Linked DNA regions of Neodiprion lecontei. The protein of the gene in region 4 purifies or fractionates together with the protein of the main gene of each other region. This does not show direct contact. Links are inferred from orthologs where the notes say so. Each region holds a gene or a part of one and is shown on either strand. Other genes may lie near its edges. The genes, in order: NHP2-like protein 1 homolog, nucleolar protein dao-5, ribosome biogenesis regulatory protein homolog and nucleolar protein 56.

Region 1 (4,261 bases), on a different chromosome or scaffold from region 4:
CAATTACGCTGAACGTATTTGCTTCTTTTGCAATTGAAGCAAATCATTTACCGCAAAGCGAAAAAAAAGGAACCAGTACGATTAATGCCAAACTTATCGCAGTTGTATAAGTAACTAATTATCACTCAAGGTTGGTGTGTTTTCTATGAAATAATATGATTAGTTTACTATTAATAACCGAATTAACATTATAATTATGTCGAAGAAGTTCTATTTATTAGAAATGAAGTTATTCGACAAAAATTCTAGTGTACTACATACCTGTGATTTTTCTAACAATATATACAAAATAGTTTTTCAATGCCTTGGAGTATTGAGGCCTATTTTACACAAATACGTTAACATTTAAGAGCTGTGGGTATGCAAATTTTTTTTTATCGACCTTAATCGTAATTGCTTTAATCGTTGTTTTATTTCACAGAGTATAATCTCGTTTACTTAACTTTGCTTCAGTCCATATTAATTATTAATTTCGAATCAAATATATGTTACGTTTTATGTTGTATTTAGAACGTTTTATCCATTTTTATTTCCCCTATGTAATAAACAGCATCCATTGGAATACATAGTAATAGTGTATAGATGAGCAGACACGAACAGTAGCACCGTCTTGTTTCAAATATGAGTCCAGGTTTTTGATACTGCATATGACTGGAAGACTCTATTGACTTATATCCAGATGTCCCTTATTTAGGTATTATTATAATATGATTTCTGATACGTAGTTTTGAAATCCAAAATCATCTTATATTTGAACCAATACAGTATTTATTTAAAAATTACAACCAACCTTCAGTGTTGTCATTTTCGTTTGCGAACAACAGTTGCCATTAATTCTAGATGTTTCTTTTTCTTTGTAGTGAAATGCATGAATTATTCCAAGTTTGAAAAGTCATATTCATGAAAGGCCGAGCCATGAGCAAAGTTACTGATCACATGACTGGTAGAGCGACATTACGAAAGGTAGTTAAAAGATTATGTTTTTTGTTACAAAGTTTCATTTATTTACTGACCTTCCGAATTCACAAAAATGTTTTGTAAATGGTTGCGGCAGATGGTATTGAAAGAAATGGGTATAATATTCAAATATTGGTAATAATACAATTATTTGTAGTGCTACAATATGTATGTTATACATATACATATGCATATGCATATAAATCAGTTTCATTTTCGTTGAAATAATGTCTGGTAGACTTCCTCGGACGAAGAAGCAAAACAGGATTGCGTAGAAAAATATGCGAATTTATTCCGCGGTGTTTTAATTTTTAGAATCAGGTACTCCCGGAGGTCTTTTATTACAGCCTTTACACTAATAGCCGTTCGATTTCTTGTTGGATAGCCAAAATCTGTGGCTTAAGCTGAGATCCTTCATTTACTGTTACCGAGCAAGCAACCACGGGTCTGGAAACTCCGCAAGCTCGTCCGAGTGCTTGCTTGCTACGAACAAAGACATAGGGAACATTCTTGTCTTCGCAGAGTAGCGGAAGGTGGAGTAGAATCTCCAGAGGTTCTGCATCTGCAGCCATCACGATAAACTCTGATAGACCTCGATTAAGCGTCTTTGTAGCTTCGTTTGCTCCTTTGCGAAGCTGCTTGTAGTTCATTGCTTGTTGAACCAAATTCAAGATCTTTGCTGTCAGAGTAGCATCGGCCAGCGGGTATGCTTTCGGGTTCACCTGATCGGTCTGTAAAATATTCATTTATTAAATCAAACGCGGTTGTGGTCAATTCTATTCGCTCGTTTGCAGCTCTTCGTACGGTTCACTGCGCGTCCACGTGCTAAACGACATAACCTCTTGTCGATAGCGCGTTGACTGTGTAATTTGTACTGGATGTAGTTAATTCGGTAACACGTGACTGGGACTTACCATTTTTTAAATATATCTGTTACTGTGGAATGAAATGAGGTATCGAAATACCCGGTTATAACCTCTCGGCGATAAATTGTAGAAATCGCTTCACTGAGGAACCTGGAACTTTGCCGAACGTTGCCGCGTTTCTATTACGTATATTCGTCGTTGACTGAACTACGCATGCACAGGAAGTATTGGGAAATATAAGCATAGAGTATCAGTCTACAGTGTGTTGCTTTCATCTGTAAAGGATCGCGTCACTGCTCCCGCAGCATATCGCCGTCCTGAACTGAAACTACGCAGTGCACTCGTCTGCGGCATGATACCTTTTGAATCGAAGCTTTTAAATGCCTTCTTAACCGGTTGAAACGAGTTTGAATCCCTGATTTGAATGGTTAGTAAATGGACACGCGATTGATTTTCGTTTGTGCTTTCATAATGGTGTGAAATGAAGAAAAAAGTCTTAGTTGCAGATCTTGGAAAATATATAAAAAATATTGTAGTACTATCAAAATTGTAGTACTTTAAGAGATTTTTCGAGTGTATGAAAAACATGTAAAACGATATTTAATTTCACAAGATGCATGACAAAAATTTGTACCAATTCTTAATGAATTTCTAAAAAAAAAAACAAACGGACGCGTCAACGTTTGAATGATAAAATTTCTAACAAATTTTTACAGGACTGAAAAGAGATTTCTGATCGAACTAACCCCATATGGAATGTGCACAAGAACGTTATTCTCGAGGAGCTTTGACCTTGGTACACCGTATGTATGTACATTATTTTACCATAGTCTATGAATGAACTTTACTCCGACCACTCGTAGAGCTTCTTAAATTATTGAATTCTAAATGTACACGTATGTATGGACAATATGCGTCTGGTTCCCTACGGTTCAAGATAAAAAACGACGTGGGTGTATATGCATCAATAAACACGGACTAAAGTTGAGAAAACCAGATAGCATTTTAGACTGTACTCAACAATCGTATTATATCGTGAAGAATACCCTCTTCAGTCTCTCTAGAACTTTTCACTTATGCAAATTCGCATTCTCACAAATATTGACGGTTGAATGTACACTGAGGGTAAGAAATTCTTGAATCAACAAAATAGATATTGTTGGTGTCCATTAACTTCAATTTAGTATTCCTTATTTGGTTTAAATACGATGACTTCAATTCAACAATTTCGATTTAGTTAGTTTGTCAAAATGATTCAGTCAAGTGAATTCCTTAATTTAAAAAAAAAGCCTTTCTTATCGCGATCGAGTGAAGTATTGACTCGAGTGAACTTTTTCACGTGTTTCCGAAATTGAGTCAACTAAATACCAGTTCATATATTTGAAGTTTATGTATTGTTCCTCCAACTCGTATGTTTGCTGACAGAAAAAGTTAGATACTTCAAGTAAAATAAGTATATGAATCTAGCAAACAGAACATTTACATCGATAAATGCCACACTTTGTTGATCCAACCGGAGCTTAGTTGGCGTAACTGGTTGAATCAGTTGCACTAATTTGTTTACGAGGTAAAAGGAAAACCACATGCTTTGAAACACGCAGACAATATATTCATCGTTAACGTCAGTATACTAGTATTATAAGCGTAGTATTATAAGTAGCTTCAGAGATAGTTACAAAACCGGGTAGTCGGCCAAGAATTTGGTTACGGATAACCTAGGACAAATTAGACATCAAGCCTATAACAATTAAAGGGAACGTTATGCCATTATCCGACTCATCGAAATTGATATTGACGACGCGTAATTTAAAACTACTGAACATGTAAGGTTTATGTATGTATACTTCCTCATATTCGGCAATAATCTTTCGAGTGTGCCCTAGTAATGTCAAATTATCAAGTAAATTCCATAAAATTTAGAGTCAACAAAATTATAAAAAACATCATTCGAAGAATACATTTTGTGCATTTGAATAATTCTAATGTTCAGTCAATTCAATTTTTGTAACAACAAATTTTATTACTTCAACCATTGAACTCTTGACTCAACAAAACATGAATTTGACTCAACAAGCTCAATTTTTTTTTATTTCATATTTTTAAAACAAAACGATTGAGGTGCGTTCCATCACATTTTTAGTCATTACAATCGCAGATTTTTTTCATTCAAAATTCACATTATTCCAAGGAACTCATGCTGTGATACATCATACATGGTATTAAAGTCATACATCATCATACATAGTATGAAAGTTCGAAACCAAAGTTTGGATGTCGGATGTTCGGATGTTCAGAAAGTGACGTCATCCAAATTTTTTTTTTCTTGACGTCATCAATCTATATAGACGAATATCAGCTCGCCGAATTCCTCAGTCTGGCAACAACCGCGCAATAGAGCGGACGTACTAAAATCGCGCTCCGGAAATTTTGAGTACCGG
Region 2 (8,230 bases), on a different chromosome or scaffold from region 4:
TTTTTTTCTCAACACTTTATAATTATAGTAATATTTCTACAACTACAAATTAACAATAGTCGGAGTTATTTTTATTTTCGATTTGAATTGTTATTCAATACTATCTCATATCGTAGCTTCGTTCCTTACAGATTGTTATATCTGTATGGAATGAGTTGCGAGGCGACGTGAAAAGCCTATAACTGTATTTCATTGTAAAGTTTTAACCATGTTTTTTTCTTCATTTTAGCACATGTATAGGCGGTGTGTAGCACGTATTTGATGAATTTATTTATACATATATGTGGTTTGTTCGTGTACATTTTCTGCCAGTAATAGGAATTCTTCGATCCCTGTTCCCGTTTTATCAACGTGTACTTGATATAATGCGTAATCGGAACGGATAAAATTGTTTTAAAACATAAATCTAGCTTTGACAAGCTAAATGTCAGGTGATAAATACACCGTTGCCGATACGTCGGAAAGTAATGATGATTCTATAACGGTTTTACAATGAGAAATAATTTAATAATAAGTGGTTTGTAATAAAAATAAGACTCTTGTAAGAAATAGCTATGGCGTATATCATGTTGTAATCGTAATATTTCACGTGAAATAATCGATTTGTCAATTGTCGGTAAACTTAATGGAATTGACTGTCATGTCTATTTGACCACCGCGATAACTGCCACGTTTTTTTTTTGTTTTTTCATGACGGAACGATTTCCCCCTGGTGTGTTTCAGGTCCAGATTTGCTCTTTCTCCCCATGAGCCTCGGAAACCTTTCTGTTAAAATAAAACAAGATAATTTCGGTTATTACACGTCACATTTAACACTTCACTTGACGTAACGATTTTACATGGTGAACAGGATTTCATGATAATTTCAAGTTTTTCGGGTTTGTGTTACGAACAGTGAAAAATGTAAAAATTACCTTTAGAAAAACAGAAATGAATGATCTTGTACGTATTCGAATTTCGCAAGATATTGCCGAGTTTAAAGTCACTCGCAGAATTTAGATCAAACGGAATTCTTGAATTCTCATGTCTGGACACCATGTATTTATTATAAATTTTACTAAGATATCATGAAAGTACAAACAAGTCCTACAAGTCCGAAACTAATTGGAAAGACGAAAATTTAGTATCAGAGTTTCCAATTCCGTGCTTGACGCATATGAGCCTGATTTTGTGTCAGATTAACGTCATGCCAAATTCTTTGTTTACGTATAGAATTCTACAAAGTCACCACTGAATTCAGAACCAAACGATGTGCTTTTTTTTGAATATCAAGAATTTATAAAAATTCGACAAATGTAATGATTCTATTTAAAAAAAAAAAAAAAAAAAAACTCACTTGTGAATTACCGTACCAATTACAGGCTTTTTCATACATCCATGAGTCTTATGTTGAGCGATTACCTTATCTTTAAAAACTCCTATAATCAATCGTCAAAAGTGATTTTCTTATTTTGAGCGGGTGCATCTCCAAATGAATTTCTTTTCTCAAAACCACCCCCTCTGCCGCCCCTGAAGCCCCCACCTCTTCCACCGCCTCGGCCACCTTCGTCACCTCCCCAAGATTTTCTAAAATCACCTCCCCCTCGTCCACCACCGCCTCTGCCTCCATCTCCGAAACCTCCTCTGCCACCCCCTCCTCGGCCACCGCCTCTTCCTCCTCGGTCACCCCAGCTACCTCTACCCCCCCTGAAACCTCCGCGATCACCACCTCTCCCACCCCTGAAGCCTCCACGACCACCTCTATCGCCACCCCTTCCTCCGCGGAAACCTAAACCGCCTCTTCCGCCCCTGAAGTTACCGTTATTTGGGGTATGGGCACATTCCTCACCCTCTTCCTAAAACAAGAGAGAAACACAAGGTCAAGCAATCTGAAAGTTGATATCATTTGTCCGAGCACTGCCCTTTCTCGGCCACTGACACGAGACAGGCACCTGGAAAAATTCAGGATAATGCATGGAAACATGAGCGCAAACAATATCAGGTGGCAATAAGGCTTTCGAATTTGGTAGCCAAGTCCAAGATTCAGAACTAAACAATCGTCGGTTACGATAAACAATATGAGTATATACACTTTTCTGGTTACTTGAATTATCAGGACAAAGTCGTATAATTTTTTTTTTCAACAGATCAATCCTCAACTTTCATGAAAGAGTATGGGAGTGACCTTGTGTTTCTCATTTGTTTTCATACTCATTTGTTTCCGAGCATTTACCTTAGCTTCAAATGCATTACTCCCCAATCGTGGATCCACTTCGATCTCGTCATCCTTTACGCGTCTGAATGGTGTATTTTTCTGGTTCACAGAATGAAAGTAAAAGGTAAGTATATCATTGATGGTGGGCTCAAATGGAGCCATGAAAAATTAGTGCAATTTGTGACATTAATGATAGTGAAGTACTCTGTTAAAAGATATGAATACACAAAAACAAAGTAAACAACAAAGGAACTCCACGAATATTGGTGGTTGTAAATATTTTTCTGTACCTACATCTTTAACATTAGTTTTCAATTCGTCTACAAATACTGCTTCAATTAGGGAACATATAAGCGCTAGGGAAAAAGAGGATTACTGCTCAAATAAAAAATTTCATGCTTCAATTTTTGTTTTTAAAAGGTTGCGGGGACTAAATTTTCTATATTTAAATTTATGGATAAAATAAATGATATTGATGTCCAGAACTGTGTAAAACAGTTTCAGTGTACTATTGAGGGCAAATTTGATGATACAAGATAAAAATTGCTAGGTTTGCAACTAATAGTTACCTTGTCCCCATTTACATTGTTCCCAGCCTTTACAAAATTGCTATATTTGTCCTTTTGTTTTTTTGCAACTTGTTTTGCTTCTGTATCATCTTCATCGTCTTCATCGTTATCGTTATTTTGGTGTTTTCTTTTTTTGGACTCAGCTGGAGTAATTTTAGGTTTTGGCGTTTCCTCTTCATCGCTATCCTCAGAACTGGATGTTTCCTCAGCAACAGCTTTGGGGGCAACTTGCTTAGATGCAGGTTTCTCATCCTCTGTAGACTCATCAGAGTCATCACTGGACTCTTTCTTAGCTACTTGTTTGACAACAGCTTTAGCTGGTGTGGATTTTACAACAGCTTTCTGCACTGGTTTCTCAACTTCTGATGAATCATCAGAATCGTCACTGGATGATTCTTGTTTTGCTGCAGGTTTAGTTGGAAGTGCTGCAAACTTTTTTTTTGGTGGTTCCTCATCGCTGCTGCTATCATCACTTGAGGACTCTTTAGCCTGCCTAACGACAAGTTTGGTAGCTTTATTCGCAGGAGTGACTGGTTTAGGTGCAGGTTTCTCGTCTTCAGATGAATCCGAATCTTCGCTACTCGATTTTGCTTTCACAGCTGCCTTAGCTACCACCTTAGCAGCTGGGGACACAGTGGGCTCATCATCGTCGGAAGAGTCGTCTGAAGATTCTTCTTTTTTAGCTGCTGAACTTACAACCTTTATAGGAGTAGCCTTTACTACAGGTGTAACTTTGCTTGGAGTCTTTGCTGCCGGTTTTTCGTCTTCTGATGAATCATCCGAATCATCGCTAGAAGTCTCTGTTTTTGCGACTGGTTTTGCCACAGGTTTAGCGACGGGCTTGGCGCCAGCTTTAGCTGCAGGTTTGGAGCTTGATTTAACAGCTGGTTCGTCATCGCTACTATCATCACTATCGTCCGAGGATTCTTGTTTCGCTGCAGCTACTTTTGCAGGGATTACTTTAGGTCCAGCTTTGGCCATAGGTTTAGACACCACTTGTGTTTTGGAATTTTCTTCAGAATCTGAAGAATCGTCGCTGGAAGAAGCTTTTTTGGCATTTGGCTTAGCTGGGGTCAGTTTTGTTTTTGAAGAAATTGTTTGAGCCGGAGCTTCGTCCGACGAGCTGTCATCTGAACTTGATTCTTTTGCGGCAGGTGTTAATTTAGCTACAGGTTTAGGCGGGGATACTTTGACGGCTGGTTTTTCATCTTCGCTAGAAGACTCTTCTGATGAACTTTCTTGCTTTTTGATTTCTGGCTTTTTTGTTACTGGCGCTTTGCCGTTAACTATTGGCACTTTTTTAGGCACCTCATCTTCGCTCTCCGAACTTGAATCTGAACTGCTGTTTGTCTTTTGTGCTTTAACATTAACTTTTTTCGATGAATTCTTTTGAAAATGCTGTATTACTTGCAGTATTGTTGGAGAGCCTTTTGCAAGCTCAGGCTGAAATTAAAATCGTTCAAAATTTGTTTAGAATAAATTTTCAATTTGATCAAAGTACTGAGAAATCCTAGCCATTTAATTCCAATTCACACTGCATACGACACACATTCTTTTTAATGTGTGGGGGATTCCAGCACATTCGGATCGCAATTCTGCGCATGGGTCACTGATTTTGGCAGCATTTCAGATTTTGATTCTTGGCGAACCCAAAACAACTATTCTAGGGTTATACGGCCTGATGCTGAATGGTCCACGAAATATTGACTTTTCAAAATTTGAAAATAACCATTCATTCGATGCAAGGTGATCTTTGAACATGAATATATTGGCTCCCTGACGTTAAAAGATTATTTTCAAAACTAAAAAGAGTGGTTGCACTCCAGCAGGCGATAAAAGAAATTAAATAATTAAAAAAAACTAAGAAAAAAAAAGCACCCTTCTATAAACTTGAGGATCTCTTAAGTATTTAGTGGAATTTTCAAGTAGAAAATTATGCCCTTCTAGTTTAAAAATCAAAATCAAAACCTCTCGGAATATCTCGCAATTAAAAACTGTCCTTAAATATTTATCAATTTCACAGTTTTAAAGATAAATCCTTTGCACTCGCAAATCAGTTGCGAAAGTATTCTACCAGCATCAGGGAGACAAGATATACATGCTCAAAGATAGATCCGTTGTATCAACTAATTGTGTTTTTTTAAACATTAAACCGTTAACCTCTCGCAAACCATTCGAGGTCCCGTAATTCTGGAACAGTTGTTGTAGGTCAGCCAAAAACTCAAAATCTCCGATGACTCGAATGGATGAACTGAAACCCCCTATATACGAATATTTATATATATTTATAAAAGAAGTTTGATTTCTAAGTATGTACTCGTTTCATCTTAAGTACATGGAATGTGAAGACAAATACTTCATTTAAAAATCTACCACGTACATAATATGTGTATATATTTTTTGTATTCATCGCTATAATATACACAAATCATCAGCGCATAAAACATTTGTACATGGTTATGTTATGTCGCAAATGGAATAAGTATTCAATTTCTATTTGTCACGTAAAACATGGGTTTGCAATATTTTAGGTTACAATGTAACTGTAGAATTAATACAAATATTGAAATATTATTGCAATTATTTTTAAACAACTATATCAAGTGCACGAAGAGTGAAAATTGGCAATTATACAGTGTTAATTTTAGGAATCTCTAAGAAGTACAATATTGAAGGTATATTAGCTGTACTGAAATCAGTACCTATTTAGAGATAAATTAAGTAATAACGATGAATGACACCGTGATTGAAAAAAGATACAGGTGAAAACACTCCCAATGCTAATTGGCAATAAACTGCTTACGTGAGTAAACACGTTTCACATTCAGTCAAGCAGGTTCGAATTTATTTCTCATATGTGACATGGGAGGTTAGAAAATCTTGAGTCTCGTATTCAAGCTTCGTGAAAGAAGATCGAAAAGACATGTGTTACGGAGTACATTTTAATGAGAGAAATAACGAGACTCGTGTGGATGAAATATTGTGCTTGGTTTAATTGCTTTATAAGAAGCCGTTTCGATTTCGAAATTATCCACGTGGTGCGGCTATCGAGGCTGCCAATTATCGGCCGCGGTATATCGTATAGAATATAGTCACGCAAGGGTAAAATACATCAATTCTTTTCTGAAGCTTACCGCTTTTGTTTTTTTCTGAAAGACTTTCGCCAGGGATGTGTCCTTCTTCAATAAATAATCATAAACGAGCGCGGAGATCGTAGGATCGTCTATGGAGGCCATGATGGACGCGTGCGAAGAGACGGCGTACTTCGGAGCGCATTGAAATCGGCCGCTAGCCATAAGACAGATACGCTATACAAGATCACCATATCACCTACCATTTACCACGCTACGTTTCGGTGCTACCTCGAACGTCACACTTGCGGCGTGCTCGAGAACTTACTTTATCGACTGAAGTTGTCGCCATATAGAGTGTCTCAGCTGCAAGTGATCAAACTGATAGGGGTTACAGAGGAAGTCGAACTCATATAGCCGAACTGAGTAAATTAACCGAAAGAACATGTATCCGAAGTCATTCGCAAGATACGACAGGTTAAAAAATACCCGCTAAGCGCCGGCATGTAGACAACTGAGTACACAGTAGGCAGCCGTTAGTGGTCATGTTGATCGTTCGAAACGCACGTTTAATTTGCGTCTCGAAAATCAGTTATTGAAAAAAAACCGTTGATCATATGATTGTATAAATAATATTATTTATGTCATTCTAAATATTTCTAAATATGTCCTGTGAGAAAAAGACTTTTTCCCGCGTCTCTTTAGCTCTTTAATTGAAAAACCATGAATTGACGTTGTTACAAACGTTTTGCACGCGATAGTTGTTGGTTATGAAGTACTTTGTTACCGACGTGTTTAGTTACTCGGTTAATATTACGTGAAACTACTGATACCCCCAATCCCTTCCAGAGCCGCTGAATCGTTACGAAAAATAGCTCAGGGTTGAGTCTTTATACATCACATAGGTATCACGGAATATTAACGCGGGAAAAAAGAAGATAGTCTTGTATCTATGTAAAATACAATCATCTTATATTAAACTTGATGCAAACAGGACATATATTATTTATTTAAATTACTCTCATCAGATTTGCGTATGCATAACTTTGCATTTTTTTTTTAGCCTGAATTAATCTTTTGATTGAGATGACCTGCTGAAGGAATCCATCATTATGAAAGCGCATCTTTTCAAGTTCAGAGTTAGTTAAATGTTGCGTAACAATATACAAAATGCATAATTCATCACTACCATATCTATATTGATTCGCTTAACCATATTTCACACTGATAAACTTTCTGGTCTCTGCAAGGTAGTTCACATTGCCAAATGTATATTAAATTTTCAGTTCCGCACTGCAATCAGTTAGCTTTGTCGAGAAGATCTTGACAAGTATGACACCATCTCCTACATGATTTTTTTGAGCATCAAGTTTCATGACAGGCTCTGGAAGAAATGAATCTTGATTGCCTTTGACCTCTAGCTCTGTGGTTCTTTTTTTCGGCTTTATAATAGAATTATTTAATGGTAAAGTTGTGAATGTCAAGTAGGGAAGGTTGGGGCAAGACGGCCCCCCAAAGCCGGTTATTACTCGTGGCTTTCAACCATCAAGTCAGTTAACTTTTGACCTATTTCGAACAAATCCATGGACATTTTGATGAAACTCGGAAAAAAAACTTTAATTGAAGAAATTAATTAATTAAAAAAAAATTATTATTTTCAAATGCTGCTAGTGGCTCATTTTACCCTACAAGTAGTCTACTTAGTAGACAATCAGCCTAAAAATGAATAAGTACATATTCTTCATAATTTGACTTTAAAAATGTAAATAAATCTATTTTTTAGAATTTTTGGCTGGTCCATTTTGCCCGAGGTATCTCGCGTAGGGTTACAAATGAGCTAATATATCAAAATCCCGATAATTTGAAAAAAAAAAAAAATTTTTTTTGACCAAATTTTTGGAGGGGGCCTTCTTGTCCTAGAGGGGCCGTCTTGCCCCACCCTCCCCTACTGAAATTATAAATTACCTTGGATTAGTGGTTTATGAAAAAGCAAGCGTAGCCTCACTGTTTTCCAATTTTAGGAAGTGAGTTTCATAAAAATACAAGCAAGCCATTGATTCGTTGAAAACCTTAGGAAATATCCATGTTATTACTCGTCACTTTTTGAAAAATTATGTTCAATAATGATAGATTGAAAGAACTATTCATACCATAATGGCTGCCTTCATGATCATTTCGAACACATTGAATTTCAAGTGAATTTTTAGACATATTTGCAGGCAAAAATTTGTCCATTATTAGTATTATTTTAAAACGTTCACATTTCATCTGTAATTTTCGTGAAAATCATCTGAAAGGAAAATAGTCATATGGGTTTACTCAAATGGAAGAAATTTGTGATGCATTCAAAGCCTCTTGATCAATTAGATAAATTTGCCATGTGAATCTTAATTCCA
Region 3 (4,548 bases), on a different chromosome or scaffold from region 4:
AGTACGGAACATATATTGTTCCTCTTTTTGGATGATGGGGCGATAGTTTGTTTCACGGCATTCGTCGAAAATTCACACAAATTATTATTGTTGGTCTTGTTTGTCATTTGGAAAGTATCAAAACTCTTTTCGCGTTGATGATTGTATAACGATGACAATGACCACGTCGAAGATTTTATATTATTTTTATATTATCCCATTGAATCGCAACGATTCTGCACCTGCCGGCTTTATACTCCGATTACGCGATATGTACTTTCATTCGATATATCTAATACACCATCATCCTACGCATGACACTCGAGTATTGTGCGCCTGCTCGTACCTTGCTTAGATCAGGATTGTCCGCGACTATGGCAGGAACAAAATATTGAAGATAAAAATTCTCCGGCGAACGGAACCCCTTTTTTTAAATCTATCTCCTCACCCGAAAAAGACCTACAATTATAATCCTCCGACAATTTCTTTTCTCTCCACTTCTGTACTTTGACTTTTCTTTTACGTCGTAGGATTCGTGTTCGGAAATTGAAAAACAGGACGGCATTTCTAGGTATAATTCAGAATTCTCTTCCTCAGGTAAACAGATTAAACTACCAATCCTTAGCCAACATCGTAAATCTAAGTTTCTATGCAATTTAAATCAATCGAGGAGATTTATTGTTATCAGATTTATTCTTTTTCGTCTATACAGATCGTGCATGTCCGACAACACATTTTTTCTATCATTCACAGCCTCCGTCTTGGGGCGATAAATTTTTGTTATTTAACTCATGAGTCGCAAAAAATTAACGCCTGAGGCACAGGCTATCGATTATTCCGTACTTTTGAACCTTATTTCTTTTTTATCGATACAGTAGGTACTTGAGTATCCTTTGTACTACATGAGCCCTCTCGGAGTCGAGCACATCGGCTTTTGTACTGTGAAGAGCTGCTATCTTTGTGACCCGTTCTGGAGTCAGCAATAAAGATTTTCGGCAGAAATTTATTCCGTAATCTTCGAAAATGTTTCTTTCTTTTTTATTACAATCTTTTTCGAACACGATACAAAGATGGGAAATTTTATAATATCGGATTGGCGTAAATTGGCGAATGGATGTGATCCCGTCAATTTTTTTGCCGTCGTTTTCTTCCACCCACTTTGGTGTGCATATCTCGCTTTCCCTTGCCTCCTTTCGGCTTCTTGCCACCCTTCTTACTGATTTTACTCCTCTTCTTTGGCCTTGGCGATTCGTCGTCCGTCTGCCGGTTTTGGGATCTGTAATTGATAGTTTTACATAATTTAACCAATGGTTAACGTAGTTGACAACGGTCGCGAAATTTCGCATAAGACATTAAACTAATTCTTTCAAGGAGAGTAGGGATAACTTACTCAGAGGGGTTTGAAACAATCGAGATCGCTGGTCTTTTAGATAAGATTTTATCCACAAAACCCAGGTTCCGTTTCACCTCCTCTCCAGGTTTGAACATTGGTTGTTTATTTTTCTTTGATCCCGGCACCATTTCTTTGATGTTCTTTGCATCCTTTTCCTTGGGAAGTCTGTGAAAGTGAAATTGGACACAACAAACTGAATAAGTCATTACTGCATTTCCAATTGTACCGTTTTCATTTCAATTTTGGCATTAAAACAAAGCCGTTACCTGTTTTGGAATTTACCGACTGACGCCGTAGACGATCTGGCAACAGTGACGGCAGTCGCTATTTGACGTGTATCTTGATAGTAATCAGAGCTTGGTATACCAACGCGAGGAACCTTCACATTCTTCGCTTTAGCCAAGTTCCTTAGTCTCTGGAGTTCATTTTTGCTGCGCTTCTCCTGTTTTGCTGTTGTCTTCAGGGATAGGTGGTCGAGAGTTGGATCTGCATGGTCACTGACTTCGACCAGCCAATTCTTTTCAGATTCTGCCTGCGTTCGTTTGTAACCGTAGTTTGGAATCCATTTCTAAGAAAACAAATAAATCGAGCAATTACATCTTGGATGAATAAGTGCGCGCATCATTTTCATAATTAGAAAACAAAAGTTTACCTGCAACTGCTCGTCCCATGTAACTTTTGACTTTCGTTTTCTGTTACTCTTGATGCCCTTTTCCTTGGCGAACTGTTGCCACTTTGTCAGGGGCTTAGGCTTTGGTAGTCGATGTGTTCTGGGAAGTACGAATCTAGGTTTCGGCAGCGTTGCTACGACCGCTTCGTCCACACGCTTTGTCGGCAGTTCCCAAATCCGATTTATCAACAACTGGACGTTGTCCCTAGTCAATTGCTTGAAGTAATCCTCCCTGTTGGTCCTGGAAAAGACAACAACGGGTTTAAAAACCGGAACTTTCTATTCTGTATCAGAGATTCACTTATGCAAATGGTTACACTACTTGATTTTCTCAGTGTCGAACGAGTTGTAGTCGACCGCGAGCAGCGAGCCTTCGTCTATTTCCACCTCCAAGTGCTTTTGCACCTCTGTTGTCCGCAGGCGTTCATCCTGAGCGGCTTTTTCGAGGACCTGCGATACTATGTCCATCCTGGATGCGACGCACGTAACCTAAAAGTTTCCACGCTTCGCACTACGTGCGATATTTTTAACCTCCTGATTTTACGGTTAGGATTTAGTGATGCATAAGAACCCATAGATGGCGGTGAAAGGTGGGTGAAAGAAAATAGTAGCATAGAATTCGTAGCCGAGAGATGTTGAAGCTGAACTGTTTTCGTGTGCGAACAAGTGCGCCAACTCGTGTCTAATGTCTTCTTTTTAACCATTTCGACAGGAGGTCTAGTAGCTGATTATTCTACAGCCATTTGAACGTCAAGAGCTGCGTGGCTTGGTTCTGCAATTTTTATTGAGAATATTTGAGTGTATTTGAGATGGTAAGCTGTGCCGCCTGTGGATATTCGAAAACGCGTAAGAGAAGGGATGAGCGGATCACTTTCCATGTGTGAGTAATTTTGCAACATTCCAATTTAGCTATTGTCCGTGACTTGAGGGTTAAGTTTCTTTCTAAATGTTTTGGTGTGTTTCCCATTATTACCTATCAGGTTTCCAAAACGTCCGGACAGGCGGGATGCCTGGATCAGGTTTATGGGCCGAGCTGACTACAAACCAACGCCGTACAGCAGACTCTGTTCTCAACATTTTACTGATAGTTGCTTTGATCGTGCTTCTACAGCGAGAGTGCAACTCAACAATGATGCTATACCGACAATTGGAATCAGCAGGCTGAAATATGTTAGTATCTCTTGCATTTGTTCATAAAAAATATCCACGCTAAGCAATTCTTATGTTGCAACAATGGGATCTTTGTAGGCTCGGATGATGCAGGATGAAATTAATGAGCGATACTTGTCCCCTACAACGGACAGTGAAGACTCAGATGTCCCTATTGCTGACAAAATTCCATTGTCTAATTCAGAAGTCTCATTGAAACAGATTGAAGTCTATAATGGTCAAAAACCTGGTTCGAGCAGAATAACCCTGGTGAAATTGGATCCACGTACGGCTGCGGAACTGAAAAAAAACCTCAAATCCGTACTGAAAGCACCTTTGAGTACTCCTGCCCCCTCAGTATCGTTAGAGAAACCAAATACCGTGATTAATCATGCTGCTGACAGTGGTGGAGAGGTAACTTTGCTCAAGCAGAAAATTAATGAAATGGAGAATGTGGACAAACTAAAGACCCGCAAGATTCAGAACCTGCAGAATATCATTGGTAAACAGAGGAGGAAAATCGATTCACTAAATAAACTCTTCAGTGATCTTAAAGAACTCTACAACTCAACTAGGACAAAAAGTGGAGTGACAAAAAATGGACATGGGGTGTAGCATTGCCTGAAATAAAATAGGTGTACGTACGAGTCCTAACGGAGGTGAACCGGTGAGCAATTTGATTGTTAATAAATCATTGTTTAGTGTTACCTCTGATTAAGCAATCACTGAATCAGCTACGAGTTTTATTATATGTTATGCTGCTTGGACAACGAAATGTTCTATTGATAATGATGTAGAATTTTTTCATTATTACAGATTGCTGCCATCTCACGGAAGTGCTATGGGATTGCAATCTGATTGAAATATCACTTACATCTAGATGAATTTATGGAACAACAACTCATCCTGAATCGCGTTACTTCTAGGCATGTATTGAGAGTAAAATAATCGTCTGTGTCGAATATTTTATTTCCGAGATCAATTTTAAAATGTCGGATTAATGCTAGAACAGGATTCCGAGCAACCAACTTTTTGATAGATAGAGTGTCTAACTCATAACTCGTTAGGTAGAACTCGGAGTTTCGCAATGCTATCGTTGTCATTTATAGAACTTTATATTTGGTAAAAGAAAGCTATATTTTCGAAATTGCAGGAGTTACAAGCATGACAGCCTAAAAGACCGCGAATCTTCAGGAATACTGTTATGGAGAGCGGATTTTCTTTGTATCGTATAATACCAGTGTTAGGTGATCTAAGAAAGTGTAACATTATATGACACGTGGTTTAATCATTATCGTCAACATTAAATTTGAATGATATTTTGGATTTGAGACGATAAAAGTGTGAAACTATGCAT
Region 4 (6,844 bases):
GGATAATTTTACTCATATTTTAAACCCTTGTATTTCATAATTGTATATGTAAAACTTTTTAATTCACTTTCTTTCTAATCTACTTTCCTAAATTCATGTCAAGCAGGATTAATTAGTTTAATAAGAGAAACCCCCCCCCCCCCCTCTGTTTGATTGAAAATATTATTTAGTTCAAATTCGTGAACGATATGACATACATACGTTTAGAAAATATGTACCGAAGAAAAAAAATTTCCGCCTCGATTATACATTTTTTGTTTTAAATTTACGCGCAACATAGTTTTGCGGTTGTAACATTTTTCCGTTATCTTTTTTTTTTTTTTTTTTTCTCATCACGCCTGTCTTACATTGAGACTGAACTGCCCTATATTATTTTTTCCAATTTATGTATGTACCTGTACCTACCTACCAATGTATAATATCTTCTGATCTACATCACATGCATTTATTAATATACAGGGCGAAATAAATATAAAAAAAAAAAATAATAAAAACCCGTACAGTCAGCCTACGGATATAAGGACACGATACCTGTCTCAGGTTACTATTGTTATAGTTAATGAACATGTTGCAATAATGATATATGATAATGCATGGTGAAAATGAACCAGGTATATAAAAGATAAAATGTATAAATCATTTATAGGTTTTCACAATTAAAAGCAGACTGTTAAATTCAATTTGATAAAAGCGATTACTTTTAGTGCGATCAAAGCTGCGGCTTTGACAATTAAGTGTTGTTTTAATAAAAAAAAAAAACATATAGCCGAGTACTTTGAGTGCAACTTTGTATTGGAATAATTTTGTTTCACAAAGAAGCACGGTTTTTTGTTTATTATTATTATTATTTACTCACAGATCAGAAGCAGGCCTACTATAGATGATAATAAAAATACATGTGCGTGTACTACGGTTTAGAATTAAAAAATTGTACACACGATAATGTTAAGCTTCTAATAAGCTGGGTTCCCAATTGTATTATATATAAAATATATTTACCTGAATTGTAACTTTTAATTTAGATATTTATACCTGTTACAAGTTAATTTTACCATATTAAATGCTCATTGGTGCTGGTATTAATATATTGGATGTTTCTCAACTTTTTGCCATTCTTAATTACCCGTCTTTTATCCGTTATTGATTATCGTTATCAGAGAATCAGTCGGGTGAGTTATAATTAACAATAATGAAGATAATCATCCACAATATTCGATAGTTTTCAAGTATTTTTTAATATTCCGTATTCAATGTACAAATTACGGTATCAGCTTTTTACGGAAATGTACTCAAACATCCAAAGCATAAAGTATTTCTTTCTGTTTGGATGTTTGACAAAGATAAATGATCCAAGTGAATGTGTACAGAAGCAGAATGTCAAGTTTTTGCAGGATAAAAAACGTAAACATTCGATGACAATAATCATGGTTGCATGGTCAATCCTGTCAATTTCATATAACAAACTAAGAAAGGATTTGAATAATAACAATAAAATATAATTGTGGTGGTCCAGTGTCTTTATTTACAAAATTCGAACATTATGAATTAAACTTATCAAGTTAATAGACTGCAGACTGAGAGACAAGATACAAATACTTTGAACAAAAAGTGCTAATTGCGGTGTATTCCTTTGTCGTTATGTAAGATATTGTATTTTAGATTGACTATTCGACCATGTGTACACAAGTTCTATGCAAATACTGAAATATTTATTTCTCAACAGAATACCCAAACCGATTTCTTTATAGATAACCGAAATTAAGACTAAATTAGAAGAAACTTTTTTTTTCCATCGACTAAAATATTTTCTTCGACTTGAAATTACAATTTCAAACTAGATCTTAGCGGCGAAACAGGCTTCTGCATTCATTCAGTTGTCTGTCAGGTCGTAAAAAATCTTTCACACCTCACTCCTCTAAATCAGATGCATTTCAATACATACAAGTGTTACATGCATTGAAATGCATAAAAATGTAAAAGTAAACAAAATAGGTAACTAACATATCTTTTGTAAATATTGTAAACTTTACTGAGAAAGCCTCATTGTCTCAATGTCTGTAGTAATGAAAATGCACTCTTTCAAGTTTTGAATATCGTCGCATCATCTATTAGATTTCATTTGTAAATGAAATACAACAACTTAGATGACGAGATCGAATAACCTCAGCCGTAGTTCACTCACTCGTCATTTTGACTCTTGGACTTCCTTTTCTTCTTCTTTTTGGGTACGTCATCGTCGACCTCAGCTTCGACTGTACCATTGTCAACCGCAGCTCCGTTTGAGTTGCCATTTTCGATATTTTCGCTCTTTCTTTTCTTGTCCTTTTTCTTTTTCTTTTTCGGAGACTCTTCCTCAGCAGCGACGACAACCTGTGCAGCCTCTTCCAGCGCCTCTTTCATGACGTCTATGTTCTTCTTGGGCACGTCCCCTGTCTCATAGAATTTCAGCCTGTCCTCAACTTGCTGGCGCAATTTCTCGCCAAATATACTGGACGGGGTGTCTGTGAAACAGTCGATTCTAGACGCGATGGAACACTTGTTTGCCAGGTATCTCGAAATTCTTCCCTTATTTTTGGCACCTGCCCTTCCAATGAACGTGGAATGAAACAGCAACCCGTACTTAGGGGTATTTCCTTTAGTTTTCAATGCTCTGAAAAGAGCCTTCTCGGCACCCAAAATCTGCACCGTTGACGCGGGATACTTTGCCAAATTCGTCAGAGACCCTGCGTGCGCGATCAGTCGAGCCCCGACTTGATCGCCGATTAGAGTTGCTAGATTCGGAGCGACACCAGCCATTTTACACCTCAAGTATTCGGCCAGCTGTTTTCTATAGTCGGCCAAAGCGATTACTCGTCCAGCAAACATTTCTATATTCAGAAGATCAACAGGGCTGATGTCCATTCCCATAGAAGATTTCGACGCGTCAATTATAGCCTGAGCTTTTGCGCTATCCATTACAATTTCTTCGAGTGCTTCAAGTTTCTCCTCGGTTAACTCCTTGCGATTTTTTATAAGTTGCGCTACCTTGGCGAAGAGGTAATTTTCGGGTACAATTTTCACAAGCTCTGGAAAGTGGTAGCTGTACCACTCGCTGTTCACGGTAATGAATGAACAAAGATCAGCATTATACAATTAAGTCAAATAATTATTTTGTAATCGGATCACCGATACATTTCTAGTAACGTTTCCATGGGTGACAAAATTTTACACGTTTTAATGATTTTTTGAGAACTGTAATTCATCTAATGCGTAAATTTCGTTTTAGCTTATCTATTAACAGAGTTAAAAACAATTGAACCATTGATTTGATTTTAGTCATCCAGTATTGTAATTTTACAGTAAAATGAAGAAATTTTACCAACAAAATTTCTCAACCGAGTTCTTTATAATCATGATTTCATTTGAATATTTGCTCACTGGAATGAAACCAATATACCGAATGAATACAGAAAAGGAGGAGATTTCGACCGGCTAATAAATCAAATCAACTCAACAAAAAATTATTGATCTAGAACATAATTTCTGATTGGCAATAAACAAACGAATAAGGTTTTCAGAAGGCCAAAAAGTTTGTTTGAATCACAGATTACGCGACTGATAATTATGAAAATCAATGTTTGTAAGGTGATTATAACGTGAATGGAATCGTGAAACTTTTTAAACGGTTCGTAAAATGAACCGATCTCCATGAAATATATTACTCACCGTATACGCATGCTGAATGTGTTGACGTCCTTGTCGAGTTGATCAAGGAGCGCTATGCTCTGAATAATCATATTGTCTACCCTGTGTACGTTGAACTTGACTTTAGCCCTTGAATAGCTGTGTCCTAAACCAAGTTGGGCAACGCCAGAGCTTTTTGCTGTAAATCCCTTGACGAGATTGTGAAAATGATAGCGTATGCCTCTGATAAGTTCGGGCACAACGCCGGTATGATCGCACTTCACATCCAAAGCTTCGGCGATGCTTGCGCCAAGTTTAGGATCGGCGACGCCGAGAATGAGCTTTTTTCTCTTGCCAGGCAAACTTGAGTCTAGGAACAGTTTCAGGTCGTTCGGCACTACGCCTTCCGATATGCTGTTTACATTCTCTAGAGCAGCGAGAGCAGTCTTGAAAGGCAAAAAACCGACCAACTTAACAACTCCATGAAAACGGCCCAAGTCTGTTACCGACTCTTCGACTTGGGGCAAGAGAATGCCGACTTCTTCAAATTCCTTAACGCTGAACAAGGCGTAGCCCGCAGCATGTTCAAACAGGACGCAGAGCTTCGACTGTAAGAATTAACAAAAGATATCGAACAATTCGTTGTTGTTTTGTTTCCGAAAATCATTCTTCGCCAGTCGTTTCGTCGAATATCTCACAAGTGACGCGGCTTTGATATGAGATTGACTTTGATAGAAGAAAACGATGTTGGGAACAATTATTTGTACTTAGAAGTAAGTGAAACAGTTTGAAAATTGTGTAATGATTTTGATGCAACAGTTTTTCGAGCCCGAAACGAATCACGAGGAATGATATTGTTTACCTATCATGATCCGTCTCATGGTGAATTACAGAATAAAGTTTTTCGTCGGACTTTAGTGATACTATATAGTTTTGCAAATTCTGATGCTTCTTACCATTTTTTAATCACATTCGTGCACTATTAAACAAGTAAAATGCTATCGGAGATTTCACACACGACACATAGCCTCTACACGGCCATGTGCACGGGAAGTGAGTTTGACGCCATTTTAAAAACTTTTAGTTCTCAGCTCTCACATCACGGAGCAATCAAGATAGACAGTCATTTGTTTCGCAAATACATGGTATAGAGTTCAGCGGGCCGCCATTAGAGTGCGAGACGAGCAGTATGGCTGAACTTTTGAATCAAATGCTATGTAAAAGTCGATGGCAAATACTGACAAATATACGTGTAGTACCGTTCAATGATTCTCATAAAAGTATTTTATCGTGCTTGTGGTCAATTTGGAGGGTTGCCGTATCCGCTAATACATCGTAAGTAATGTCGTGGTTATGCAAAGCTGCGGTAACCTTTACCTCGAAAACAACGGCAGAATACGTGTTCTTCGATGATTGAACCGACACACAATTTTTCATGAAGATTTTAAGTACCGTCGATTTTAACAGGTAAGTGTATTGCTTTCATCGATTTTCTTTTTTCTTTTATCGAAGCCAGAGAAATATTCGATGGCTCGATGAGGGATTTTCTCTTGTTATTGGTTGCATTGAATTTAAATAAAATGGCCGGCCGCCAAGACTGATTGTAAGAAAATGAGTATGGCTAATTGGACTTTGTACACATTTTTGTCTTACTGCTAAAAATGAATGTGGAAACAATTGATCTTGAAAACATTAAAATGATTTTTCTATTTTCTACATGATTTTATCAGAATAAGTTACAGCCTAGTACTGTAGAATTTTGAATCAAAAGCAAATATTATGATTACGTTGTTGGAAATTTATTTTCGAATATCACACGAGTTTCGAATGAGATGAAAATTAGTTTCCTGGTTTTGATTGACGATACCCAGTACCGTGGAAAACATAACTCTCTAATCTCATTCTTTTCACAAAAACGTTAACAAATGAAGATAAATTCTGACTATTGATATCTTTTTATTTAAATTCAATAAATTAGATATGCTCATTTCCACACCACTGTAAGCAGTAGAGCATCCGGTGCGCTTTTTTTTTACGTGGTATCCCCAGTAGGCCTATTCCACGACGAAGAATTATAAAATTGACCTTAGTTTTTCGTAGATTTTCGGTATGATTATTTTTATGATTGCTAATTCGTCATTCGTATAGTAGAGTCGGTTAAATTTAACTACGAGATAAATTGGACAGTTCTATAGGAAGCACATTTCTTCTCGTATACTTTTCTGTAGAACAGTTCAATTTATTTGGTAGTTCAATTTAACCTACTGTAGTATATGTAGTTTGTTTGCTAATTGCCCATTATGGATAAAAATATGATTGTTTTTTATGATAGATGATCGAAATAATTTTTTTTTTTTCGACAATCGAACAAATTGTTGGTTATAGACACAGCTAAAACGGACAAAGGAGTAATAAGTTGCGATGAAGAAAAATTGTTATTAGCGAAAATATGAAAAAATTATTGAGCTAAAACAGACAAAGGTGTAATTACCTAAATCAGACAAAAGGTTTGACTAACCGAACCAGAAAACAAGCCGAAACAGACAAAAGTTCAATTAGCTGAAACAGACAAAAGTTCAATCAGCTGAAACAGACAAAAGTTTAATCAGCTGAAACAGACAAAAGTTCGATTAGCTGTAACAGACAAAATTTTGATCAGCTGAAACATACAAAGGTTTTATTAACTGAAATAGACGAATGTTTTAATCAACTGAAACAAACAAAAAATTGATTAGCTGAAACAGAAAAAAAATTTAATTAGCTGAAACAGATAAAACTTTGATTAACCGAAACAGACAACAGTTTCATTAGCCGAAATAGACAAAAGTTTAATTAGCTGAAATAGACAAAAGTTCGATTAGCTGTAACAGAAAAAATTTTGATTAGCTGTAACAGACAAAAGTTCAATCAGCTGAAACAGACAAAAGTTTAATTAGCTGAAACAGACAAAAGTTCGATTAGCTGTAACAGACAAAATTTTGTTCAGCTTGAACATACAAAGGTTTTATCAACTGAAATAGACAATATTTTAATCAACTGAAACAGACAAAAGATTGATTAGCTGAAACAGACAAAAAATTTAATTAGCTGAAACAGATAAAAGTTTGATTAACCGAAACAGACAACAGTTTCATTAGCCGAAATAGACAAAAGTTTAATTAGCTGAAATAAACAAAAGTTC

What was found.
Region 1: the proteins of nucleolar protein 56 (region 4) and NHP2-like protein 1 homolog fractionate together in Homo sapiens (co-fractionation; 3 studies listed by BioGRID, with this or other methods). This does not show direct contact. The link is inferred for Neodiprion lecontei from reciprocal best matches to the Homo sapiens genes NOP56 and SNU13.
Region 2: the proteins of nucleolar protein 56 (region 4) and nucleolar protein dao-5 purify together in Homo sapiens (affinity purification with mass spectrometry; 6 studies listed by BioGRID and IntAct, with this or other methods). This does not show direct contact. The link is inferred for Neodiprion lecontei from reciprocal best matches to the Homo sapiens genes NOP56 and NOLC1.
Region 3: the proteins of nucleolar protein 56 (region 4) and ribosome biogenesis regulatory protein homolog purify together in Homo sapiens (co-immunoprecipitation; 3 studies listed by BioGRID and IntAct, with this or other methods). This does not show direct contact. The link is inferred for Neodiprion lecontei from reciprocal best matches to the Homo sapiens genes NOP56 and RRS1.

Annotation. Positions count from the first base shown.
Region 1 is NC_060261.1:30,699,978-30,704,238, forward strand, and holds NHP2-like protein 1 homolog, read right to left. Parts: upstream 2,063-4,261; 5' UTR 1,875-2,062; coding exon 1,872-1,874; intron 1,689-1,871; coding exon 1,308-1,688; 3' UTR 746-1,307; downstream 1-745.
Region 2 is NC_060260.1:24,039,891-24,048,120, reverse strand, and holds nucleolar protein dao-5, read right to left. Parts: upstream 6,406-8,230; 5' UTR 6,060-6,405; coding exon 5,898-6,059; intron 4,207-5,897; coding exon 2,764-4,206; intron 2,294-2,763; coding exon 2,213-2,293; intron 1,836-2,212; coding exon 1,425-1,835; 3' UTR 1,402-1,424; exon of another isoform or gene 1,337-1,401; intron 766-1,336; downstream 1-765. UniProt on the Homo sapiens protein: Nucleolar protein that acts as a regulator of RNA polymerase I by connecting RNA polymerase I with enzymes responsible for ribosomal processing and modification.
Region 3 is NC_060266.1:947,899-952,446, reverse strand, and holds ribosome biogenesis regulatory protein homolog, read right to left. Parts: upstream 2,611-4,548; 5' UTR 2,511-2,610; coding exon 2,365-2,510; intron 2,284-2,364; coding exon 2,025-2,283; intron 1,941-2,024; coding exon 1,639-1,940; intron 1,538-1,638; coding exon 1,370-1,537; intron 1,256-1,369; coding exon 1,105-1,255; 3' UTR 982-1,104; downstream 1-981. Other genes in the region: THAP domain-containing protein 2, read left to right, coding at 2,852-2,922, 3,023-3,212, 3,291-3,806. UniProt on the Homo sapiens protein: Involved in ribosomal large subunit assembly. May regulate the localization of the 5S RNP/5S ribonucleoprotein particle to the nucleolus.
Region 4 is NC_060262.1:3,830,541-3,837,384, forward strand, and holds nucleolar protein 56, read right to left. Parts: upstream 4,776-6,844; 5' UTR 4,623-4,775; coding exon 4,620-4,622; intron 4,272-4,619; coding exon 3,706-4,271; intron 3,092-3,705; coding exon 2,179-3,091; 3' UTR 826-2,178; downstream 1-825. UniProt on the Homo sapiens protein: Involved in the early to middle stages of 60S ribosomal subunit biogenesis. Required for the biogenesis of box C/D snoRNAs such U3, U8 and U14 snoRNAs. Part of the small subunit (SSU) processome, first precursor of the small eukaryotic ribosomal subunit.